2 linked regions of the Drosophila melanogaster genome follow. The protein of the gene in region 1 interacts with the protein of each later gene in a pairwise test. Each region holds a gene or a part of one and is shown in the gene's direction. Other genes may lie near its edges. The genes, in order: CstF64 and su(f).

Evidence for each region.
Region 2: the proteins of CstF64 (region 1) and su(f) interact in a two-hybrid assay, tested with the Drosophila melanogaster proteins (2 studies listed by BioGRID).

Annotation. Positions count from the first base shown.
Region 1 is NT_033777.3:18,654,357-18,665,438, forward strand, and holds CstF64 (cleavage stimulation factor 64 kD subunit), read left to right. Parts: upstream 1-5,261; 5' UTR 5,262-5,348; coding exon 5,349-5,485; intron 5,486-5,548; coding exon 5,549-6,671; 3' UTR 6,672-6,770; downstream 6,771-11,082. Other genes in the region: CG31224 (uncharacterized protein), read right to left, coding at 1-1,592, 1,809-2,627; Cpsf73 (cleavage and polyadenylation specificity factor 73), read right to left, coding at 6,803-6,892, 6,956-7,398, 7,460-8,751, 8,814-8,975, 9,032-9,099; Gos28 (golgi SNARE, 28 kDa), read left to right, coding at 9,440-9,461, 9,527-9,711, 10,253-10,641, 10,712-10,814.
Region 2 is NC_004354.4:23,091,835-23,105,496, forward strand, and holds su(f) (suppressor of forked), read left to right. Parts: upstream 1-5,574; 5' UTR 5,575-5,861; coding exon 5,862-5,897; intron 5,898-5,958; coding exon 5,959-6,281; intron 6,282-6,445; coding exon 6,446-6,721; intron 6,722-6,779; coding exon 6,780-7,179; intron 7,180-7,383; coding exon 7,384-7,575; intron 7,576-7,640; coding exon 7,641-8,054; intron 8,055-8,110; coding exon 8,111-8,218; intron 8,219-8,667; coding exon 8,668-8,968; intron 8,969-9,025; coding exon 9,026-9,273; 3' UTR 9,274-9,597; downstream 9,598-13,662. Other genes in the region: CG17159 (uncharacterized protein), read right to left, coding at 381-688. UniProt on the Drosophila melanogaster protein: Essential protein, may play a role in mRNA production or stability.

The DNA of each region.
Region 1 (11,082 bases):
GCTGTCGCTGGTGCTGTTTGTTTTGGTTTGATGACTAATTTCTTAGGCCCGCGATGCTGGGCGGGAGTTGAAAAGCGTTGCGGCAACAATGTGGTGGTCGCCTCAACCTCGACTTTCATGGGCGGCGGCTGAGTGAGATCCTCGGCAGATGTTTCGGTCGCCGTTGCAGAAGTCGATGCTGCAGCCGTGCTTGCCATTCGAATGACGCTAGTGGTGCCATGCTCAAGGCTGGGCTTTTGCTCCAGCTCTTCATTAGCGGCCATTGCCACGTTGTCGTAATCATCCAGAGGTTCTTCCTTCTCCACCTTGACGAGTGGTATGGGCGCCACAGCGGCAAACGGTCGACTTGCCCCAATGCGACTGGAGGCTACGATGTTGCCCATCAAATCGAGGTACTCATTCATATTGAGCGGAACATCGCTGAGTACGGTAATTCGATTCTTCTTGGACTTTGTAGTGGCGGTGGAGTTCGAATTGGAGGCAGAGTTGGACGCGGAATTGGAATGATTGTCCGCCAGATTGGAGGTGGAAGCTCCAGCCGCAGCACTTGTAGAAGGAGCCGTGCACAATGGAGGTGGTAGTGATGCCGCTGCATTTAGCTGCTCCTGTTTACCCTCCTTTTCCAAATCACTCTCACATCCGCTGCTAAGGCTCATGAACTCCTCCTCGTCCGACATGCGCTTGGAGCCTCGCTTCGGCTTCGTCTTACGGGCCTTTTTCGTTGTCTTGCTCATATTACGGCTGTGGCTGTTCTCCTCCCGCTCATCGTCCCCGTCTTCTTCCTCGGGCGGAGCATCATGCTCGTCCTCCTCCTCTTCATCCTCGTCATCCTCATCATCATCGTGTATGTGCAGAACACTCGGCGGGGATTGATAAATGCGTTCGATCACGGAAAACTCGCCGTCTTCCTTCTCCACACACTCTACAATATGCTTCGGTGTCTCCTGGACAATGAAGTCACCATTTTCCCGCTCAAGGTAGTGTGCCACCGGTGATTCTGCAAACCTCAATACCGAAGATGAGGTGGTGGGACAGGCCGGCGATGCGCAGGCCACTGCCGCTGCAGCATTAAGCAGTGCTCCAAACGGTGAGTTTGTCTGACGATTCGCACGATGACCAGATCCCGAGGTCGAGGGGTTGTTGGAGGAACTGCAGCTATTGCTGACCCCTAATCCGTAGGTCTGCAAGCTCGGTGGCTGTTGGTGACTCTGCTGGCTCGGCTGCGACTGCTGCGGGTGAGAATGCTGATGGTGTTGACCTTGATTTTGCACTAAACTGTGGATCTGCAACTGTTGCTGTGCCGATGGCGGTGGTGGGGGATTCAGGAATACTTCCGTATGAGGTTTACTGGGCTGCTTAACAGCTGCAGTTGCGTGTGAAGTTGAAGCCGCTGATGTCGTCGTTGGTGCCAGGGCTAGGTTGGGTTGCATGGCCACGCTTTGGGACTGTGGCTGCTGTTTGTTTTGGTTGTGCTGAGATCGTATTTGACTAATGGCGGCTCCATAGGCGGGAGGTGGTTTCTGGTGCGATTGCTGCTGGGTCTGCGGTGGAACAACCGTCTGCTGTTGCTGCTGCTGTTGCTGCGTAAATAGCTGTAAAGAAATTCGAGTTGCTTAAGAACGGAATTCAATTCGAAAATAAATACTAAATTTATATAAGCATAAAGGGTACAGTGGGTATACATTTTAATTTTGTTTCTTAATACTTTTCGTAAATAATATTACCCCTTTCTTTTCAAAGGTGTACTGCATTAAATCTTGATTGCACCCTTTAAGACGGGACAAATAACTTCTGGGACTCGGACTCACCTGCAACGGCGGAGGTGGGGGCAAAGCTGTGGCGTAGCTGAACTTCAGAGCAGGCTGATGCTGCGAATGTTGCTGCTGTTGCTGCGGGGACTGCTGCTGGTGTGGAAAGTGAGCCTGCTGTTGATGGCTGGCGAGGAAGTGCTGCTGAGGCACCTGCGGAATCACCAGCGCGGCTGTTGAGGTGGTGACACCACGCCCAAAGCCCGACGTCTGCGGCTGCTGCTGCTGCTGGTTGAAGCGATAATCCGGAGTGACCTGCGCTGGCTGGTACAAAGTGGACACGCTGCTCGTGGTGGGATGTGCGGATGTGCTGGCTCGCGCCTCAGTTGTGGGCGGTGAGCATTTCAGTGCTTTCATCGGTGGATTGCTCGGTTTGCTGCTGCTGAGGCTGCTGCTGTTGCTTGCTGAGGTGGAGGTGGGTGTGGAGCTGGTTGTCGAAGAGGCGGCTCCGTTGGAGCAGGCCGCCACGAGGGAGGAGGATAGCGGTGGTGGTGCTGGTGGCAGCACAGGCGCTGTTGCTGCTGATATGGTATTGACCACGACTGGTTTGACATCGCCGCCAGAAGGGGGTGATAAGACGGCCGGTTTCTCATCAGCACTGGCTTCGCCGCCGCTGGATCCACCTCCTCCAGATCCTCCTGTCAACATGGCGGCAGCGAGAACGCTGCCCATGCTGTTGCCACCGTTCCCAACGATCGTCATCTGCACCAGCGCCTTGATCACCTGCTCCTTGGGATGGGTCTCCAAGTGATCGGAGAGATTCATGCCCGCATGCAGGTACAATGTGCACACGGGGCATTGGACACTGTTGTCGACCATGATGACGATTTTAGATTGTTCTATGTGTGGCTCCTGCCTACTCCTACTCCTGCTCACTGGCTGCTCCTGCTCTCTGGGAGCCTGGCTTCTAGCTTTCTAGTGCGACGGATGACTGGCGTGGTTGCCCTTCAGAGTCATAAAACAGCGTATCTCCTTGGCTTGGCGTCCATCTTGCTCAATCCTCTGATTCGACGCGGGTGAGCTGCATTGGAGAATATAAAGAATGTCAGAATGTTGGTGCCAGAAATTACTGTACCAGTCCCTGGGCACATTCTGCGCTCCGATATCAACGTCTTCGGTGAAACGATACCCGATATGCGAAGAATGCGCCGTCCGGCGATCCAAGTGATCAAGTATCCACGGAATGCGTAATGTTTAATCTTAACAAACGCGTCTTTTTACAAAACCAATCCAAATTTATAAAGCTGATAATTTAATAATAAACCCTACTTTTCTTATAGAAAGGTGATTTGGACTGGAAGAACCCTTCGCACATCGTGCATCCTAACTGTTGAAAGTAACTCAATTAAAACCACAAATGTTTTACTATCGGGGGTAGCACAAATAATCAGTAAAAAAACGTTCGTTGGAAGTTTCTTGTAGTGAGTAATTTCTTTAAAAGCCAACAAAATAAAAGCATGATAAAAATAAAATTGTTTCAACAGCGAGTGCATTTCTAATATGATGATTATAATGATTTTGGTTTACCAGTAATTATTTTGTTCTTTAGAAAGCTACCAAATAAGTACAATTAAACATACAAGGCATATTTAATAATTGAGGATCGCAAAGGATCAAAATGAGAGAACAAGAGTCAATAAACTTTTCTAGCACAAAGCAGACCCAACCTCAACACAGTCACCCTTAAAGTCGATTCCACATTTTCGAAATCAGAGGTGCCATTTTAAATCGATTCTATTGATTTAGTAAAGCCATGTCTTATATTCGAATCCGTTCATATTAACCACATTCTCTGAGTAGAGCAACATAAGAATTCTGATTAGAAGGTCCTGTTTGGGCAATGGAAATGGCGGATTGGAATGCCGGTTGCAGATGGGTGAGACAACTTCTGGAGCAGCTTTTTTCTCTCGGGGAGCCAGAGCAGCAGGAAGAAACGGAATCAGAATCGGAAAAAAAGAGGCAACGACCCAGACCCAGCCTGCTGACGAGTTATTGGCCGTTCATCTGGTTTGCCTTTTGCTGCTTGCCTTTTGCGATAACTTTTGCTTTTATTTATAGTCTGTCTGCAGACCAACATTCACTTGTTTCTTTTTTGGGATTTGGCCATCTCTGCAAGGGTGGCTCTTTGTTTTGGGGGCGAAGGACAATGCGAGGGCTGCACATAAACAGCGGCAAACAAATGTCTACGTCTGTTGCTATTGATTTTTCCTTTGCCAAAGGTTACACACACCACGCACACACAACACCCACATGCACACATGCACACACAGACTGTCGAAAAATTGAGGAGCACACGGTGCGTAAATGCATTATGATTTATTCCAGTATCCCAGTTTGCAGCGACAACAATCGCCAGCCAACCTTTTTTCCAGTGTGCACACACGCGCGCTTGTTTGTGTGCGTTAATGTCGCTGATCTTGCCACTTATTGTACGATTTTTTTCTGCTGATTATTATTCACATAATTACAGACACACACAATTTAAAAATGCACATATTTCCGCTTTTGTTCACCAGCCATTGCCATCGATTTCGTTTTCGTTTCGTCCATGGAATGGAATGACACTTCCACAAAGAGAGGACGCCAGCTAATTACCAGTATCGATCGAGAGAGAGAGCGGCTGAGAGCGTATCCTTGGAAATGTAAAGAGCGTGGTGCACCTGCGGCCGCTTAAAGATGAAGAGGAAGTGGAGTTGGAGGAGGAACTGGAACAGGAGGACCAGGAGCCAGGAGGCTCTCTTCTCTTCTTTTTCTCGTTCAATGACACAGAAATCTTTCCTCTCGTCTTCCGCTTTGTGCGCTCCTTCTTCCAATATACAAGCGAGCTTTTTATATGTGCGAGTGCGACTGCGAGGCCATCGCTGCGTTTATCTCCCTCTGTCTGTGTGTGTGTGCGTTTGTGTGTGTTGGAGTGCGTGTGGCTACACACAAAGTAATATTTTCAAGCACGTTTTTCATGCACTTCGAGCCGTTTTTTGTCTATTGCCGCATAGAAAACGAATAAACGCCACTTTCATCTACAATTTGGTGTACAATTCGTGCATATTGGTGCACTTTTCACTATCAAAAACCGTTTAAATCGTTTTCACCTTGCGACAAGAAAAATTACAACACCAGGCGTTGGAGTGCTGCAAAACGTATGCGGGCTGCGGGAACTTACCAGCACTAGCAGTGGTGGTATTTTTGGCTAAGCAGGGCATTTAGCTATTTTCTTGCTAAATACTACGTTTCTAAGTGATGGCAATGGATGAGAATCCCAAAAATTAGACCAATACTGTTAATTATTTTCTCAGGTGTTTAGATAAGAAAATAAAATAAAATGGCTTGCGTATCTGTTATTACACTTTGTTTAATATTTTGCGTCCCATACCGCTTTATTTCCCAAAAAGTATATGAAAAGTATGAATCCCTGGTAAGGGAAATTATTCAAGGAAGAAGAAGAAACAGCAAGCCGGAACGCAGGGAATTTTTTAGACAAGTTTGTCAACGTTTGCTAAGATTTTGTCGAGTTTGTGCAGTAAATAATAACAAACAACAGATATGGCAGATAAGGCGCAGGAACAAAGTATAATGGACAAGTCCATGCGGTCGGTTTTTGTGGGGAACATACCCTACGAGGCCACCGAGGAGAAGCTAAAGGAGATTTTCAGCGAAGTGGGCCCGGTCTTGTCACTGAAGTGAGTTCCCTACTTAGAGCCATGCAATATCTCACTGTAAACCTCCTATTCTCAATCCCCCAGACTGGTCTTTGATCGGGAAAGTGGCAAACCCAAGGGCTTTGGCTTCTGCGAGTACAAGGACCAGGAGACGGCTTTAAGTGCCATGCGGAATCTGAATGGCTATGAGATCGGCGGCAGAACACTGCGAGTGGACAACGCGTGTACGGAGAAGTCGCGCATGGAGATGCAGCAGCTGCTTCAGGGACCCCAGGTGGAGAATCCCTATGGCGAGCCCTGCGAACCAGAGGATGCTCCCGAGCTCATCACCAAAACGGTGGCTTCCTTGCCGCCGGAGCAAATGTACGAGCTGATGAAGCAGATGAAGCTCTGCATCGTGAGCAATCCATCGGAGGCACGCCAGATGCTAATGCTCAATCCTCAGTTGGCGTACGCTTTGCTCCAGGCCATGGTGGTTATGAGGATCGTGGACCCTCAGCAGGCGCTCGGGATGCTCTTCAAGGCCAACCAAATGCCCCCCGTCTTGGGCGGCAATCCGCACCAGGGGCCGGGGAATCACACCATGATGGGTCAGCAACAGGTTCCGCAACAGCAGGTGCAGATCCCGCAGCAACAGCAACAGGCTCCCCAGCCACCAATGCCCGTTCCCGGACCTGGCTTCCCGGCCAATGTCCATCCGAACGATATCGATTTGCGCATGGTGCCGGGTGGACCCATGCCGATGGATCCCAGGATGATGGGCCGTGGCATGGACCAGGATTTGCGAGCTTCTCTACCCAATCCAGTGCCACCGCCGCTGATGGATCCCCGAGCTCGTGCCCAGATGCCCCCACAGCAGCAGCAGGGCGTTCCGCAGGCGCCACCGGCCCCCTATCCCAGCGATCCGCGCCAGCGTCCCATGGATCCCAGGTTAAGGGCAGGACCTGGTCCTCAGCAGCAGGCGCCGCCACAAGGAATCCCCCAAGCGCCGCCACCGACACAACAACAGCAGGCGGCCGCTCAGCAGTTGCAGAGCAGACTAGGCGCCCATGGAGTCCTGCCCTCGGATGCCTCCGACCAGGAGAAGGCTGCCCTCATCATGCAGGTACTGCAGCTGTCCGACGAACAGATTGCGCAGCTGCCCTCCGAGCAACGGGTCAGTATTGTCATGCTCAAAGAGCAGATTGCGAAGAGTACCCAGCGCTGAAACTACTCTGGCTGAAACAAATGAAAAATCACCATTTCGCTCATGCATACTATAGTACTTTCAACATTGAATCAATTAATAAAAAGAACATTTCAACACAAGGAGATTTATTAAGCGGAATAGAATGGTTTTCAAAGAGCGGAGACTAGGGTCTGGTGTAACTTCTGAACCGTCGTATTGAGCATTTGTCGCAGCACATCATCCTCGGCACAGCTGATGGCCTGGAAAGATTGTAGATTAACGATATTTTTCGATTTTAAAAAGCACCTTCGACGAACACTCACCAGGGTTTCCAGATTTATTTCCGCACGTTTACCGCTCACCGTCACTGGCAGCAGATCGCCCTCGAACATTTTTGGCACGCAGTTGTCGCCGAAGGTGTCCTGTAGCGTCTCGATTAGGCACTCCCGAAAGCGCGAGTCCTCTGACTTGGTTTGCTTTGTGGCACCCTTCAGATTTGTTCCGCCCAACTCCGATTGCATGATGCAGGCAAGAACGGCATCGGCGTACACATCATTCACATGCGTCGCTTGCCACTCCATCACAATGATTTTCTGCTCCACAGTTAGCTCGATGCAGCCGAACACGCGCAGCTTTCGCTCCGCCTCCAGCACCTCAACGCATCCGGCTCCAATGCGATCCAGCAGTAGCTCTAGAGTGCTCAGCGAGCTGCCCCAGGGAATCGACTGGCGTTGGGTTACAACAGACATGCTCATATCCGTGTATTCTGTGGGAATTATTTAAATGAATCGACATTTTTACAAAGAAACTAACTAACTATTACTTACTGCCCAGATCAGAAGGAGCCAAGAGGTGGTACTTAAAGTCGCGCTTAACCAGAACACCTGAGAGTTTGCTTCCCACCTCCGAGTTCTTGGCTGCGAGGCTTCCCATCACCTTGGCGGTTTTCTCGCCACGGAAATAAAGATCCACGGCATGTGTGTTTCGCGGGTTGTAGAATTTTATATCCGTGCTTGCATCTGCTTCGTATTCCCGCTGCAGGGCCAACTTCAGACGCGACATCTCGTTCTGCTCGCCGTGGACGAGCACGACATGCGTTGGCTTTAGTAGGCGGATGAATTCACTGGTCTGCTGGTAGTCCGTGTGAGCCGAAAACGATATGTAGTCGACGGACATGTTGAGCGGCAGCTTCTGGCCCGACAGTGTGGTGATCTCCTCCGGCTCGGAGAGAACGGCTTTGGCCAAAGTGCCCTCCACGCAGTAACCGGCTATAATCACTCCGTTCTTGGGATCTGTGCACCAGCTCTCGAAGAGCTCTCGCGACAATCCCGACTGCATCATACCCGGCGACGCCATGATTACGCAGGGTCCGATATCCTCGAAGTGATCGATACCCTTCAGGTTGGAAATGTGGCGGAAAACGAAGGGATTGTTCACAGCTATCTGTCGTCGAATTCGATCGTTCATAGCATTGATGTACGTCTGGTAGACAGCCATGCACTTCTTGGCCAAAGAGGAGGCATAGTAGATGGGAATCTCGTGCAGATCCGGGTTCTGCGACCAGAATTCATCCAGAATAAGTAGCAGTTCTTGGGCACGGCCCAAAGCAAATACTGGAATTAAGCATCTCCCGCCTTGCTGAACAATTTTCTGCACCAGCGAGGTAAATCGATTCTCTCGATCCTCTCTTTTCTCGTGAATGTGAGTGCCGTAGGTGGACTCTGTGATAAGAACATCCGGCTTCATCGGTGGCACTTCGGCAGCCATCAAATGTCGATCCTCCTGGCGCGAAAAGTCACCAGTATACAAGATCTTGATGCCAGCAATCTCGATCATGAACATGGCGGCACCCAAAACATGACCAGCAATATAGGCACAAAAGCGTACGCCCATCACATCGCGCTCCTCGTGGAAATTGATCGTCTCGATCTTCTCCATGGAGGCCTCCAGATCGGCTTCCGTGTATAGCATCTGTTCGGTGGATATGTTACTGATCTTGATGTAATCGGACAGCATCCATCGGTAAATGGCTTTCGTGGCATGGGTCATAAAGCAGCGGCCTTTAAAGCTGGTCTTCATGAGAAACCAAGGCAAGGCACCGCAGTGATCCAAGTGGAAACTGATAAATATAAGCATTCACCATTAAAAGTTCAATGCCCATTTAATCGCCGCAGTACTTACTGTGATATAAACAGCAGATCAATCTCATCCGCCTCTATTAGATCTACGTAGGGCAGGGCATCCATGCCGGACAATCCCGGATGGATTCCGCAGTCCAGCATTATCTTCTTGCCCTTAAATTCCAACATGATGCAGGAGCGTCCCACTTCCTGGCCAGCACCACTGAAATATAAGCGTTACCCTTGAGCTTCTATCTGGTTTAAATCAAGATTCCTTACAGTGGCTTGATCTGCAGCAGGTCGCTTTCCTCGTCTGGCATGCGTGCATCACCTGTTGCCTGCGTCATGATGTCTAAAATAATGTAATCAATAACAAACTTTTTTACAAATCGCCGGCAACAAAACGCTGTGCACGGCAGTGTGACCAAAGTTTGATGACTGCCGGTATGGACCTGTTCACACAAGGGCTGGAAAAGAACATTGTACTTTTTCCTTTTACATTAACATTAAGTTATTAGGACAATTTAATTTTCTCGTAAACATTTGTTCATTAAGTAGGGCCTAGATTAAATCTGGCTATTAATCTTTCCCGATACTCTCAACTCATTCCACTTGGGCCCCGCCTGACCTGGTCACACCGATTGCCACACGAAAGTCGAACAAATAAAGGAAAACTATTTTTGACAAATGGGAGGATCCAGCTACGATGGTGAGCAGTGGGACTTAATGGTTACCTTCCATATAAGCTATCTCTCCTCTCGACCTCCCGCACAGTGCTCAGGAAGCAGGCGCGGAGCCTGGAAAACGAGATCGACCTGAAGCTGGTGGCATTCAGCAAAATCGGAGCTGGCAGTGGAGGAGGTGGAAGTGGAGGACTAGGAGGCGTTGACACATCGCCGCTCCTGGGCGAGCACGTCTTCGATTCGCTGTCGGAGGAGATCGAGCAAATGCTGGAGAAGGTGCGATATGTGACCCAATGCCATGCGATGGTGCAGGGATTAAACCCGAAACAATGTAGTGCGGATTCCTTATTTATTTATTAAGCAAATTTCTGTGCCACCGGCTTTGTGCTACTATGAATTACTAATTTCCCACTAAGCCTTCCCAAAAATCATAATTTAATTGGCAGAATTGAGCACACAATTGAAAAACTGCCACGATTAACTTATATATATTGAAAACATTCCATCACTTTCCAATTTTTTATGAATCTGTATATATATTATACTTTATTATTCGAGTTTTTTTTATGCTCTGATCTTTGCTAAATTCTTTAAAAGAAAATGTTTAAGAATTCCTCTTTGAATTCGCTAAATGAATTCCATTTGATAAATACTTTAATAGATAATTCCAAGTAATGAATGAGTCACCGACTGAAGCACAAAATGTTCAAATTGTTTTGCTTGTTAAGTTATCTACGTTTTTTAGGCAATTCCCATATCTATAGAATTTCTATAGAATAGAAGGATTTCATTTCTATTTCATCCTTCTTAATTGCAGCTATCCTCGCTAAATGAGTCCATGTCCGATTTGCCCGCCTCTGGAGCAGCCGCCATGCACACACTGCAGAGGCATCGAGAGATCCTGCAGGGGTATCGCCAGGAGTTCAATAAGATCTGCGCCAATCACACAATGCGAATCGAGCGAGAGGAGCTGCTTCGTGGCTCAGGGTTGGCCACCAGCTCCGGCAGTCCATCCATCTCGGGCCTAAACCGGCGAGAAATGTACCTGAAGGAGAGCGGGCACCTCAACAGCGCCAGTCACTTGGTCAACGATCAGATAAATATCGCGATTGAGACGCGTGACCATCTTCACGCCCAGCGACAAGCATTCAAGCGGCTGCAGACCCGCTTTAACGATATCTCCAATCGATTCCCACTGATTTCCAGGTGAGACAGACGAGTTCTCAATTCAATTTATGCATATTTACTTATCCAATTATTTGTTGTATATGCACAGTCTCATTCAGCGCATCAACATTAAAAAGCGACGCGATTCGCTGATCCTGGGAGCAGTTATTGGCTTCTGTGTGATCTTGCTGCTGCTCTACGCCTTCAACTAGTGACCCGCCACCGCGATTTGGCCAAAGATAGAGCTTGCATTAAACTCCATTACAGACAATTGAATTTTAGTTTGTTTTTTCCGACGGTATATGTGTATGATTAACTTGTGATAGCAATAAAATGTACTATATAAGACAAAACCCAACAGCCATTGATTCTAATCTCAAGCAGCAGTTAATAATTTTAGGCAAACAGCAAACATAACAACTTATGTATATACCAAAAAGAAACCCAAAACATTTAAAACATTTACGTTATTGAAACGAC
Region 2 (13,662 bases), on another chromosome or scaffold:
GGTATTTTTGTTTGATTTGCTTAATATGTTATTTTAGAGTTTCTGTGTGTGCTTTTTTGCCATTGCAGAACTTATTAACATTTTTATAATCAATTTTAGGGCAGGGGTTCCTCCAGGGGAGTAAATCTTTTAACAGCTAAAACAAGCTATAAGGTATTGGTATTGACTTAAAGTGTTGACACCATAAACAACCTGCCATCAGCTGGAATGAAGACGTGTGATTGTGATACATATTGAGCCAAATCACTAACGTTAGACATGCAGAGGCATGTCTGGTAGTAACTATCAAAAAGGCCTTTAAATGTTTATATGTATATGGGTAAATTTTCAGTTGGCTATATTTATAATTAATATATAATATAATTAAAACCCCACCAAACCTGGGGAAGTAGTGCACATGAGTTGGCCACACATCGCGAAACTGCGCATATCCTGACGCTAATAATGCAGGCTCCCGAGATTTTTTCACCGAGGGTATCCTCTTTCGTCGCCGATGGCTTGCATTTCGGGATACACATCCAGGTCCAAGCTGCTGCTGCTCCCTATAGTGGTTAGCTACTTCGTGACAAAAGCGATCCATCCAAAAACACTTTGTATTGTACTCTCTTTTCATGGTCATCCGTGAAAAATACTGGCTTCCACTGCCCAGCGCAATGCCTTCCACAACCAGGCCGACAGAGGAGCACATGCCTCAGGCCCTTGGAAAATTTTACGGCATCAAGCCAACAGACGGGATATTAGACCGCTTAGCGCGCTTCAAGCCAACTTGCTCGTCGGATCCAACAATGTAAACTGCGTAGGTTGACTGATTGATGGCTTCTCCTCCTCGCCTAATGTATCCGAATTTGACTGAACATTTATTGAACAACCGAATAATACAATTTCTGTTAGCAACAGCAGTTTGCGGTTATTTGTTATCACGTCAGCTCGCGATTTATTTTTGTTTGTTTGACATCGGATTGGAGTTGAAAAAGTAACGAAAGGCTGAATTGTTGGGTTGCTAAACTGTATCTATTAATACCCTCAAAAAAATCATTTAAATATGTATAACCACTAAAATAATTTTGGTACACAAAAAATTGTGTTCGATTATAAATAAAAAACTTCATTTTAATCATATCATTAATAATAATGAATTTTGCAGTAAACAAAGTAGACTCTTTAGTACGGTTCCCCCCGAATGACCCGACTGAAAAAAACGATAATCACTAAATTACTGCTCCGTGAAAAAAAATTCAGGGTAGACAAATTAAATTGAAAAGATCCCGACGAACACAGCCAACTATATCTACTCTCACATTTAGTGCCCTCTTTTACTTCCACACCCACACCCAACAATCCAAACACACTTAGGCTTAGTGGGCGTGGTCCACCCTTGATAGAAAAATTACTAACGTTCATGTCGTTAACCATTGTAACTGCAAACACCAACTTTTGCATACACCAACACCTCTTTTACAAGCCAATTTTGTCCAATTTGGACATCTCGACTCACGATAAACAAGACAGAATAAACGAGACAGAACGAACTATGTCAAAAATCGTTAGTAGAGTTGTTGGATAGGTCCAGAGTTATACAATCTAGGAGCAAGAACTCGCAAGCCGTCGAAAGACACTATCTAACGATGTCCCAGGGATTATTTTAAAAAAATGCACCACATAATTATAAAGAAAATTCGTATCATAACCGGTTATACAAGATGGCTGAAAAGTAGCTTGAACGAATCGGTTTTTGGCCCGATAAACTAACAAACAAAAACAAGTTGAGTTAACCGACGGTAACAGGAAAAAATCAGAACAAATTTCTGATGACGATTATCATTATAATTTCCATAAAATGAGTTATAAACAATAGAGAATGCGATAGTCGAGTTCCCCAGCTATCGTTACTCAGGTGGAACGACATATTTCAATATGTCTTTTAGAATATCGGCAGAAATTGGAAACCAAAATAATAAAATGGAAACTAATTTAAAAATTATTCCAATGTAGGCGTGACAGTTTTGGGTGGTTTGTGGGCGGTAGAGTGTGCGTGCCAAAATTTTTTTTTGCGAATTGGTAGATATGTACAAGACTTATAAAACCATGAAACAAATTTTTTTAGTTTTGGGCGGTTTGTGGGCGTTAGAGTGGTAATGGTTAATCTCAACATTCTAGCTTTTATAGTTCCTGAAACTGAAGCTATAAACGCTTTATTCTACCTGTTACATACTTTCCAACGAATCAACTATACCCTTTTACTCTACAAGTATTTTTTATCTTTGTATTTTGTATTTCGATGTCGTAGAATTCAGAAATTTTTTGTATGCTCTTTTAATGCGGTATACATATACATATATATGTACAATATTCCTGATTAGGATCACTAGCCGAATTGATATGGTAAAGTCTGTCTGTCCGTAAGGGGGCTGTCACCTCGAAAACTTTAAAAGCTTTGAAGTTAAGATAATGTATGCATTTCTTTCCTTTTTTCTGATTTTCGAAACGTAACGTTTTAAACGTTTTAATCATTCGTTAATCAAACAGCAATTCATATAACAGAACGTTATATGAATTTTTGTTAAGTGTTCTAAATATTTTGGTAACACAGACAGGACGAAATGAATTTTCTATCTATTAAATAAATTGATATTTAAAGAAAGCAAATTAATTTAGAAATATATTGACAATTTCCAACTAATTTATCTCTGTTATGGAAAATTAGTTTAGGAAAAAAGTTAAAATAACAAAAGGAACCGCTATAGATTTTCTCCACTAGCGCCACTCAACTAAGGGGAGAACGAGGGAGAAACTTTGAAACTTGATTGTCATATCCATAAAATTGTTTAGAATAACAAGAGAGAATGCTATAGTCGAGTTGCCTGAATATCAGATACCCGTTAACCCAGATATTTTTCTGCGATACCAAAAGATGTTGGGGAATAAAATGAGAAAAAATTTCAACAATTTTCAAAAGTGGGGCGTGACCGGTTTGTCGGCTTAAGGGCGTCACAGTGGGTGTGGCAAACAGTTTTTTTTTGCACATCGATCGGAATTTACAAGACTAATAAAGATGTGAAAAAATATCAATATATTTTTCAAAAGAGTGCTTGTGGCATTTTTTCGTGGGCTTGTGGGCGTTGCAACATGGATCAACAAACTTGCGCTGCGTCTTTGTCTCTAGAATCTGCATGCTAAATCTCCGCCTTCCAGCTTTTATAGTTCCTGAGATCTCGACGTTCATACGGACAGACGGACATGGCTATATCGACTCGGCTATTGATCCGTTATACAGTCGGAAACGCTTCCTTCTGCGTGTTACATTCCTTTAAACGAATCTACGTTACTCTACGAGTAACGGGTATAATAACCAAATAAAAAAGTCTAAACATATTTAAAAAATTTGGTTGGCGTTCGAATGAGATGGTGGAGGTATTTTGGCAAAGCGATACAAAGTAGCAAAAAATCAAAAAATGCAATGAAAAATAATTATAACATTTCACAAAAGTGTGGGTGTGAACCTTTTGGGCGGTTTGCCGTCGTTAGGGTGTGCGAATATTTCAAAACTTGCCCACGTACCACTATGTGAAATTTTACCACTTTTTCTGCCCAAAATGAATAACTCCAGGACGTTGAAAGATATTCAGATTGGGTTACAATATATCCGTTCTGAAACCGCCCCTTATATTTGTTGTAGTTTGTAACTCTAGAACGGATAAAGATATTTAAATTTTTTTGCCATTATCTTTTATGATACCAAAAATTGTGGCCGTGGCACCGCCTCTTATATTTAATTAACTAATTTTGTATAGGTATTTCCCTAATTTCGTATGCTTTTTCTAGTCCAAGCAAAGAACAACTGATTTCGTGGTAGTGGTTGCATATTGAATTATTTTACAAAAAAGTAAACACAAACATAATAACAAATTAATGAATCAATTCACCAACAGGCATTTTTAACTCCCTTTTAGCTAAAATTACTCTGCATTTGAACAAGTAGGGTAAGGACCTAAAAACTATAATTTCTCCGAAAATCGCAAAGAATGCACTTTTTAATTACAACTATCTAAACAAGAATTAAATAAGCTACAAAATAAGGTATATTTCATGAATGAGTTTTGTTGCATTCGCTTTAAATCCCTTTTGAAAGTTAAGTTTTTATAACAAAAATATTTTAGTAAGACAACATACATTTTTACGGTATAAAGTCCCCTTAATACACGATTTTTTGATAGTTTTGATAGTCAAAAACACATAATACAAACCACATTGAATAAAACTAATTTTGCAGAATGAAAAAACGCTATGGCTCAAAAGATATATAAATATTTGTATCAAGGGAAAAACTTATCGTTGCAGACAAAATTTTTTTTGTGCTTGCAACACAGCTTAGAGAATGATTTCTTTGTTTATTTATTTCTGGTATGCAGGAATAAACATTGGCCAATATAACAGAGACAAAGCTAATGCATATGTGAGGGATACACACACACAGTGTTTGTTCTACTTTGAAACACAAAACCGCGTCAGTGTGACACACTTATTGCGCCTTAGCACACACACCCACAGAGGTATTAGGTAAGGGAGAGTGACCCAGGAACGGTAATAATTTCACTAACTTGTCGAAGTCTATAAACCGTAAATATACCGCTAGGACATCAACAACAGCTGTTGGCCTCTAGGTCTGCAATGATTGTGATGCTCTCCGGAAACACGCACATGTGTGTGTGTCTTGTCTACCTTGGCAGTTTAATAAATCGGTTTCAATGAATGATACTAATACTAGTTGCGAATTTAACTCGAATTATCTCTCGGCTAATAAATGCGCTTGGTTTCGTTTGATTGCCACTCCTGATTGTTTAGCGTTTGTTTTAAAACTTTTTTGACACTTACCCAATGTGACCGCATACTGGTACTGAATTAATATCGATAAATATACCAATCTATTTCTAGGGTTAGATTCTGGGTATTCCTTAAACTGTTAAATTGTGGGAATGTTGAACCCTCAACATGAAAAAGAAACAACAAAAGAAAAAATTAAATTTCAATAAAACATTTCTCTGTAAGTAAATTCTTAAAACAATTTAACACTACAGTTGCTGAAGAAAGGTGCGTTTCACTTTCTATTTCTTATAGCAAAAAATAAGTTCCGTTAACCTTGTTGAATTTTGTTATCACTTGGACTCGTGTCTAAAACATTTAAGAACAATCCATTGACTTAAATTATAATGTTTTCGTGTGTTTTCATAGTTATGTTTGTTCGAATACCACAATACCAAGAATACCTTTACCTCATATTATGTTATATTGTTTTAATGTATAATGTTATAGGGTAATCAGGAAAAATTCGTACCTAGTTACGCTACTAGGCATACAATTCCAGGCTTCCTAAAAATGCCTTTTTATTAAATATTACCTCTTTTACTTACTATTACATAGAACTTAAACGGTTCAAAGTATCTGTTAACAACCTTCACCTTAGCAACGTACAGAAAAATGTTTCAGTGGAAACAAGCTATAAAAAATATTGCTTCTGCTTGAATTCATTATTTACAGATTTAGTACCTTTAAAGTATGTTAAAACCATATATCTTTTTTATTTATAGTTTATAATCAGTGACCGCTGTACTACACATCCCAAATCTTGGGATTTTAATGGTAAGGCCCGCGATGTGATTGGCGATGACACTATCGCAGTTACATCCAATCAGTCGTCGATATCTAAGCAGCCGCATTGCAACTTCTAAAAGAATTCGGAAAAGCGGCATCCAAGCGTTGCTTTAGGTAATTGCGTAGCGAAAGTTCAACGGAAGAAAGGAACTTTCCCGGGCCAAGGAGCAGCGCAAGCAGGACTCAACGACAATTTGCAAAGACTATTAGCAATGTCTTCGGCCAGAGACCTTATCAAAGTCGACATAGTAAGTAAAACATTGGCTTTATTTGGATGGTAACAACATATTTTTACTTATCGATGACAAGGAATGGGGCATGGAGCGCCTGGTGCGAGCTCAGCAAGTGGTGGAGCTGCGGCCCTATGACATCGAGTCCTGGAGTGTCATGATCCGAGAGGCCCAAACGCGGCCAATCCACGAAGTACGCAGTCTTTACGAGTCGCTAGTTAATGTGTTTCCGACAACCGCTCGGTACTGGAAGCTATACATTGAGATGGAGATGCGCAGCCGGTACTATGAACGCGTGGAGAAACTTTTTCAACGCTGCCTAGTCAAGATTTTGAACATCGACCTCTGGAAGCTCTATCTTACCTACGTGAAGGAAACCAAGTCGGGTCTAAGTACTCACAAGTAACTGTTATACCTTATTTAAATAATTCACATAATTTGACATCTTAGAAACTATTATAATTTTAGTCAAAACTTGCAATGCAGCGAGCATATTGTTTTTTTTGATGCACAACATTTGTGTTATTCTGACACGCTTATTTTATTGGACTTATCTCTTTTCTCAGAGAAAAAATGGCCCAGGCTTATGATTTTGCACTGGAGAAAATCGGCATGGATCTACACTCGTTCAGCATCTGGCAGGATTACATATACTTTCTGCGGGGCGTTGAAGCAGTGGGCAACTATGCAGAGAACCAAAAGATCACAGCAGTGCGCCGCGTCTATCAAAAGGCTGTAGTCACACCTATCGTGGGCATCGAGCAGTTGTGGAAGGACTATATCGCATTCGAGCAAAACATAAACCCGATTATATCAGAGAAGATGAGTCTGGAGCGATCTAAGTGAGTGTTATACGCAGAGTTTGCTAAATGTTCTTTCTAAATTCCAACTTAAAACCAGGGATTACATGAACGCTCGTCGTGTTGCCAAAGAGTTGGAATACCACACAAAGGGTCTCAATCGCAATCTGCCAGCCGTCCCACCCACACTCACAAAAGAGGAGGTGAAGCAAGTGGAGCTGTGGAAGCGCTTTATCACGTATGAGAAGTCTAATCCCTTGCGCACTGAAGATACGGCCCTAGTAACCCGTCGTGTCATGTTCGCCACGGAGCAATGTTTGCTGGTGCTCACCCACCACCCGGCAGTGTGGCACCAGGCCTCCCAATTCCTGGACACCAGTGCTCGCGTGCTCACCGAAAAAGGCGTGCGTACTAGTGTTGAAAACATTTCACCTATTCTCTGCGTTCCTGTAGTGAATCAAATAGAGTGGGTTATGGCCTTTGCTTGGTGGTGGGCAAAGGTCAAAACCAAAAACGAATCAAATATAGTCTCTTGTTTGCTAAGAAGTGTCGCCCCTCGGGTAAAGGAGCACGCAGTGGCACAACACAGATGGCTTTCCGTGGCTTGCCCCGTTGCCCCTGGCCAGGCCGCACGCGTTTTACTCTTATAACTAAGTCGAACTTTTGTGTATTTACATGTTTAATTACTTATTAAAACATTGCAGGACGTCCAGGCGGCCAAGATTTTTGCGGACGAGTGTGCTAATATACTGGAACGGTCTATAAACGGCGTGCTAAACCGAAATGCGTTGCTATATTTTGCCTATGCGGACTTTGAAGAAGGACGGCTCAAGTACGAGAAGGTGCACACTATGTACAACAAGCTGTTACAGTTGCCAGACATTGATCCCACATTGGTAGGAACACACATATTGAATATGTTTCATCAAATATTTGATACCATCGAAATTTAATACTCCAGGTCTATGTTCAGTACATGAAGTTCGCCCGTCGTGCTGAGGGGATCAAGTCGGCCCGTAGCATATTTAAGAAAGCTCGGGAGGACGTAAGGTCGCGCTATCACATTTTCGTGGCCGCTGCTTTAATGGAGTATTATTGCTCCAAGGACAAAGAAATTGCGTTCCGCATCTTCGAGCTGGGATTGAAGCGTTTTGGTGGCAGTCCAGAGTACGTGATGTGCTACATTGACTACCTGTCCCATCTAAACGAGGACAATAATACGCGCGTCCTGTTTGAACGGGTACTTAGTTCAGGTGGTTTGTCGCCGCACAAGAGTGTTGAGGTCTGGAATCGCTTCCTCGAGTTCGAATCTAATATTGGGGATCTCTCCAGCATCGTTAAGGTCGAACGTCGCCGTAGTGCCGTTTTCGAAAACGTGCGTTCTTTTACTACTTTATTTTAGAAATATGTTATAATAATATTTGTTTAAAGCTTAAAGAGTATGAGGGCAAGGAGACCGCCCAGCTGGTTGACCGTTACAAATTTCTGGACCTTTACCCCTGCACCAGCACCGAGCTCAAGTCCATAGGATATGCTGAGGTGCGTAACGGAATTTATTTATTTATAAAAATATAAGAAGAAAGAAGAAACAAACTAGCATCCATAACCGCGAAATAATTGGATTCTATTGTTATACTACATCAAACGATAACATGTGATCGTGTAGTAATCGCCATAACAGTTTAATGTCTGAATACATTTTTTGAAAATTGATTTCATTCATAATTTTTCCCATTTGAGACAGTTTGTAGGAACTCATTGGAAAGGAAAGAGCAAGACTATTTTATTTTATATGTGCGAAGAAGAAAGAGATAGCATATAGACTTACTGAATTTTAAAAAACATTTTTTAGCACAGACTGTTTTAAAAGTGTTCATTACGACATTTTTCTTCTTATAGCCAATCAAACTTTTCACAATACTTTTTATAGGGTCCACAAAATGTTTGTCTTTAATTACTTGTCTTACTTTAATCACCTCGTTCTGCAGAATGTGGGCATTATACTGAACAAGGTGGGTGGTGGAGCTCAAAGCCAGAACACCGGAGAGGTCGAAACAGATAGCGAGGCAACGCCACCATTGCCACGTCCGGATTTCTCCCAGATGATTCCATTCAAGCCGCGTCCATGTGCTCATCCTGGTGCCCATCCACTTGCAGGTGGTGTATTTCCGCAGCCGCCAGCTCTGGCCGCTTTGTGCGCCACCCTGCCTCCACCGAACTCCTTCCGTGGACCGTTCGTCAGCGTAGAGCTACTATTCGACATTTTCATGCGTCTCAATCTTCCGGACTGTGAGTGTCCCTGATTGAAATTCTCTTCAATTAACATTGAACAATTATCTTACTCAGCTGCACCGCAACCGAATGGAGACAACGAATTGTCGCCTAAGATCTTCGATCTGGCCAAGTCGGTTCACTGGATCGTGGATACAAGTACGTATACGGGGGTGCAGCACAGTGTTACGGCCGTTCCACCGCGCCGGCGACGACTGCTGCCTGGGGGCGATGATAGTGACGACGAACTGCAGACCGCTGTGCCGCCCTCCCACGATATATATCGCCTGCGTCAGCTAAAGCGTTTCGCCAAGTCTAATTAAGAAACGTTAAAAAAAAACCGATTTTTACTTTTTTCTTTCAATTAATTTACAAGAAACAAGAAATCCCAATAAAGCAAGCCATATTAATTAGGTTTAGTTTTGTTGGAAGCTGCTTGGGAATTTGCCTTCATGCTTTGGCATCACCGGTTGTAGACATTTAGGGTTGCATTGAACGATAGCATTAAATTTGTAATATTTTTCTTAATGTAAGTACACACTAACCTTTGCATCCATTTAAACATTTTAAGTGTACATTTGTTGTAAATAACTATTCAAGACAAAGTGCATTTTTCGATACTACATAATATTTTTTAATTTAGGCCAAAAAAATGTTATACATAACTCACAATAGTATATCTGTATACGTAAACATTAAAATCTCAATATAATGGTATAAATGGTACATGTTTATATCAATGAATTTCTGCATAATTTAAAGTTAGAGAGTAGAATGTAGACCTAGGAAGCACTCCTCCATTACCTCAGCTGGTAAGCATCGTCTACGGTGCTTATAAAGTCCAGCATATTGGGCGAAACTTTTTCCGCAGGGCCAGCATGAGTCGCGCTTCTCGGAGCGATGGAGGGTCAGATGGGCGTGGGCAGTGCCTAGCCCACCACAAACTCCCGGGAACGGACACAGCTTGTCCCGAATATTAAGATGGGCACGCAAGGAACGGTCCCTTGCGTGGGCCGTATAAAACTCCTAGTCGCACCTATTGCTGGTTTCTGTGTCGCTTAACATGCTGATTTAACTCGGGAGCAATGCTCGCACACGTAGGGCAGTTCCTTGGTGTGACTTCTTTCATAGACCCGCAAAGCCGTCGTGCTAAAAAACTTCTTAGGGCAGTTGTTACAAACGTGTATATGTAAATGTAATGTAAATGTAAAGATGTAAAAACTTCAGTCTACAAATATGGCATATAGGGGCCAGGTTTGGATTCTGCCGCAGGCCATCCTCATCGTTTAGTTTTGTACTTTATGCCTCCGGATCCAACCATCTGTCACGCTGAAGCTTCGGCCTCAATAAGTATTCTAGGCATTCGTTATCCGACGCCAGGAGTCGCGGCACAGCTCCATGTTGAGCAATTGTTCATGCGACTGTTTTTAGAGACGAGGCTCCGAGCGCTAGTGTACATGGTGGGTCGCAAGACGTTGAATTGCGATAAGAATAAGTTTAATCTTCATTTTATAACTGTGGTATTCAATGCAGTGACGAAGGCGACTACTTTATGCACAGTGAGAAATATTCAAAAGTGAGGAAACCAATAGTCATATACCAAAGGTATCAAAAACTAAAACGATTGCATGCCAAGACGCTGAAGAATATGAACTAATATAAGATGCGCTCTATTATAGTTTTCTTAGTACTGTATCCGTTTTTGGCTCTCAAAACCATACTTAACTCATACCGACCGGCCTATCCCACTAAACGCATTCTTATCAAAAATTCAGGATACAATTATAGCTTGGAGACTGTTTGTATTTGTATTAAACGATAAAATCGATGGTCTTTTTTTTTTTGCAAAATCAACACAGCCTTCAGGATCTAGACCAAATATAGAAAAATGCAAAGCCCATTAACTACCATTTAAACAACAAACGAGAGAGAATGCTATAGTCGGGTTCCCCGACTATCAGATACCCGTGTAAGGGCGCTGTCACCTCGAAAACTTTAAAAGCTTTGAAGTTAAGATAATGTATGCATTTCTTTCCTTTTTTCTGATTTTCGAAACGTAACGTTTTAAACGTTTTAATCATTCGTTAATCAAACAGCAATTCATATAACAGAACGTTATATGAATTTTTGTTAAGTGTTCTAAATATTTTGGTAACACAGACAGGACGAAATGAATTTTCTATCTATTAAATAAATTGATATTTAAAGAAAGCAAATTAATTTAGAAATATATTGACAATTTCCAACTAATTTATCTCTGTTATGGAAAATTAGTTTAGGAAAAAAGTTAAAATAACAAAAGGAACCGCTATAGATTTTCTCCACTAGCGCCACTCAACTAAGGGGAGAACGAGGGAGAAACTTTGAAACTTGATTGTCATATCCATAAAATTGTTTAGAATAACAAGAGAGAATGCTATAGTCGAGTTGCCTGAATATCAGATACCCGTTAACCCAGATATTTTTCTGCGATACCAAAAGATGTTGGGGAATAAAATGAGAAAAAATTTCAACAATTTTCAAAAGTGGGGCGTGACCGGTTTGTCGGCTTAAGGGCGTCACAGTGGGTGTGGCAAACAGTTTTTTTTTTGCACATCGATCGGAATTTACAAGACTAATAAAGATGTGAAAAAATATCAATATATTTTTCAAAAGAGTGATCGTGGCATTTTTTCGTGGGCTTGTGGGCGTTGCAACATGGATCAACAAACTTGCGCTGCGTCTTTGTCTCTAGAATCTGCATGCTAAATCTCCGCCTTCCAGCTTTTATAGTTCCTGAGATCTCGACGTTCATACGGACAGACGGACATGGCTATATCGACTCGGCTATTGATCCGTTATACAGTCGGAAACGCTTCCTTCTGCGTGTTACATTCCTTTAAACGAATCTACGTTACTCTACGAGTAACGGGTATAATAACCAAATAAAAAAGTCTAAACATATTTAAAAAATTTGGTTGGCGTTCGAATGAGATGGTGGAGGTATTTTGGCAAAGCGATACAAAGTAGCAAAAAATCAAAAAATGCAATGAAAAATAATTATAACATTTCACAAAAGTGTGGGTGTGAACCTTTTGGGCGGTTTGCCGTCGTTAGGGTGTGCGAATATTTCAAAACTTGCCCACGTACCACTATGTGAAATTTTACCACTTTTTCTGCCCAAAATGAATAACTCCAGGACGTTGAAAGATATTCAGATTGGGTTACAATATATCCGTTCTGAAACCGCCCCTTATATTTGTTGTAGTTTGTAACTCTAGAACGGATAAAGATATTTAAATTTTTTTGCCATTATCTTTTATGATACCAAAAATTGTGGCCGTGGCACCGCCTCTTATATTTAATTAACTAATTTTGTATAGGTATTTCTCTAATTTCGTATGCTTTTTCTAGTCCAAGCAAAAGAATGGTAGCTGTTAAGATGATTTTGGCTTGATGTTTGATGCCAATTTGATGTCCTCGAGATGTTGGTTATATACATTTATTTATATATTTAAGTATGTCCTGTGTGTTAAAGTTTTCAATAGTTGTAAGTGGATGGCTTGTTGCGGTTCTTGCTTGGCTGTCAGCGAGTTCATTTCCTGGTGTTCTTAATAATGCAGAATTTTGCTCTTTTATTTTTATGAGTTCTTAGGGCCTCAATAATGGCTAGTATGATGTGCCGTTTGATAAGTTAAATTTCGTAGTTAATAGCGAAGCTGGTAATTTTGTTTGTTTGAGATCCATCTGTGTAAATGTAGGTCTAGGAAAGATCGTTAGTTTGCTTATTATTTAATATTTTCCTTATCAATTTTGGGGTCGTGTTGTTTTTGTTGAACTTATTGTGTGTTGTGTCGATTTTAGAAAGATTGGTGTTTCAGGGAGGTGAGGTTTGGGGGCATATATTACCCGTTACTCGCAGAGTAAAAGGGTATACTAGATTCGTTGAGAAGTATGAACCGGCGGAAGGAAGCGTTTTCGACCATATAATATATATATATTCTTGATCAGGATCAATAGCCGAGTCGATCTATCCATGCCAGTCTATCGGTCTGTACGTAGGGAAATGCAAAGACAAAACAAAATGTGAAAATATATCGCACATACCTAAGTATGTAGTTATGTAAATACACATACATATATACATATATTTCACATTTTACATAGCCACATATGAATATACATATGTGTTTTCGGGTAGGGTATCATTTTAAAAGTGTCTGTCTTGCGTTACTTACATTTTTTCAATAACAAGTACTCAATACTTTTGCTTTTGGATTGTATTTTCTCCACTGTACATTTGTATAACAAAATCCATAATATTATCTTTTAAGCTACGCATTAAGGTAATTTCAGAAGGAAATGAACGATTCCTAGTGACTTCAATATTATTGAATAATAATTGATTTTTCCAAAAAAAAGATTGTATTCAAATATATTTCGGTATTGTTATATATTCATACATAAATTCATTTATACACATAACGGAAAATTAAAAAACATCGATTAGTTCGTAATCAAAGCACATTAAATCAATGCTTAACAATAATCAGGACACACTATGTAGTACGTTATTTAAAAAATTATTAACATAATGCTTGTGTTCTAACTAAATAACCGACTGACCCTTTCAGGAGTAAGGGAGAACTCTTCATTCTGATAATGAAAATGCGAGAAAGATGGAGCTATTCAAACAGCAAAACATTGATACGGACAAGTCCAGTTCGACTCTA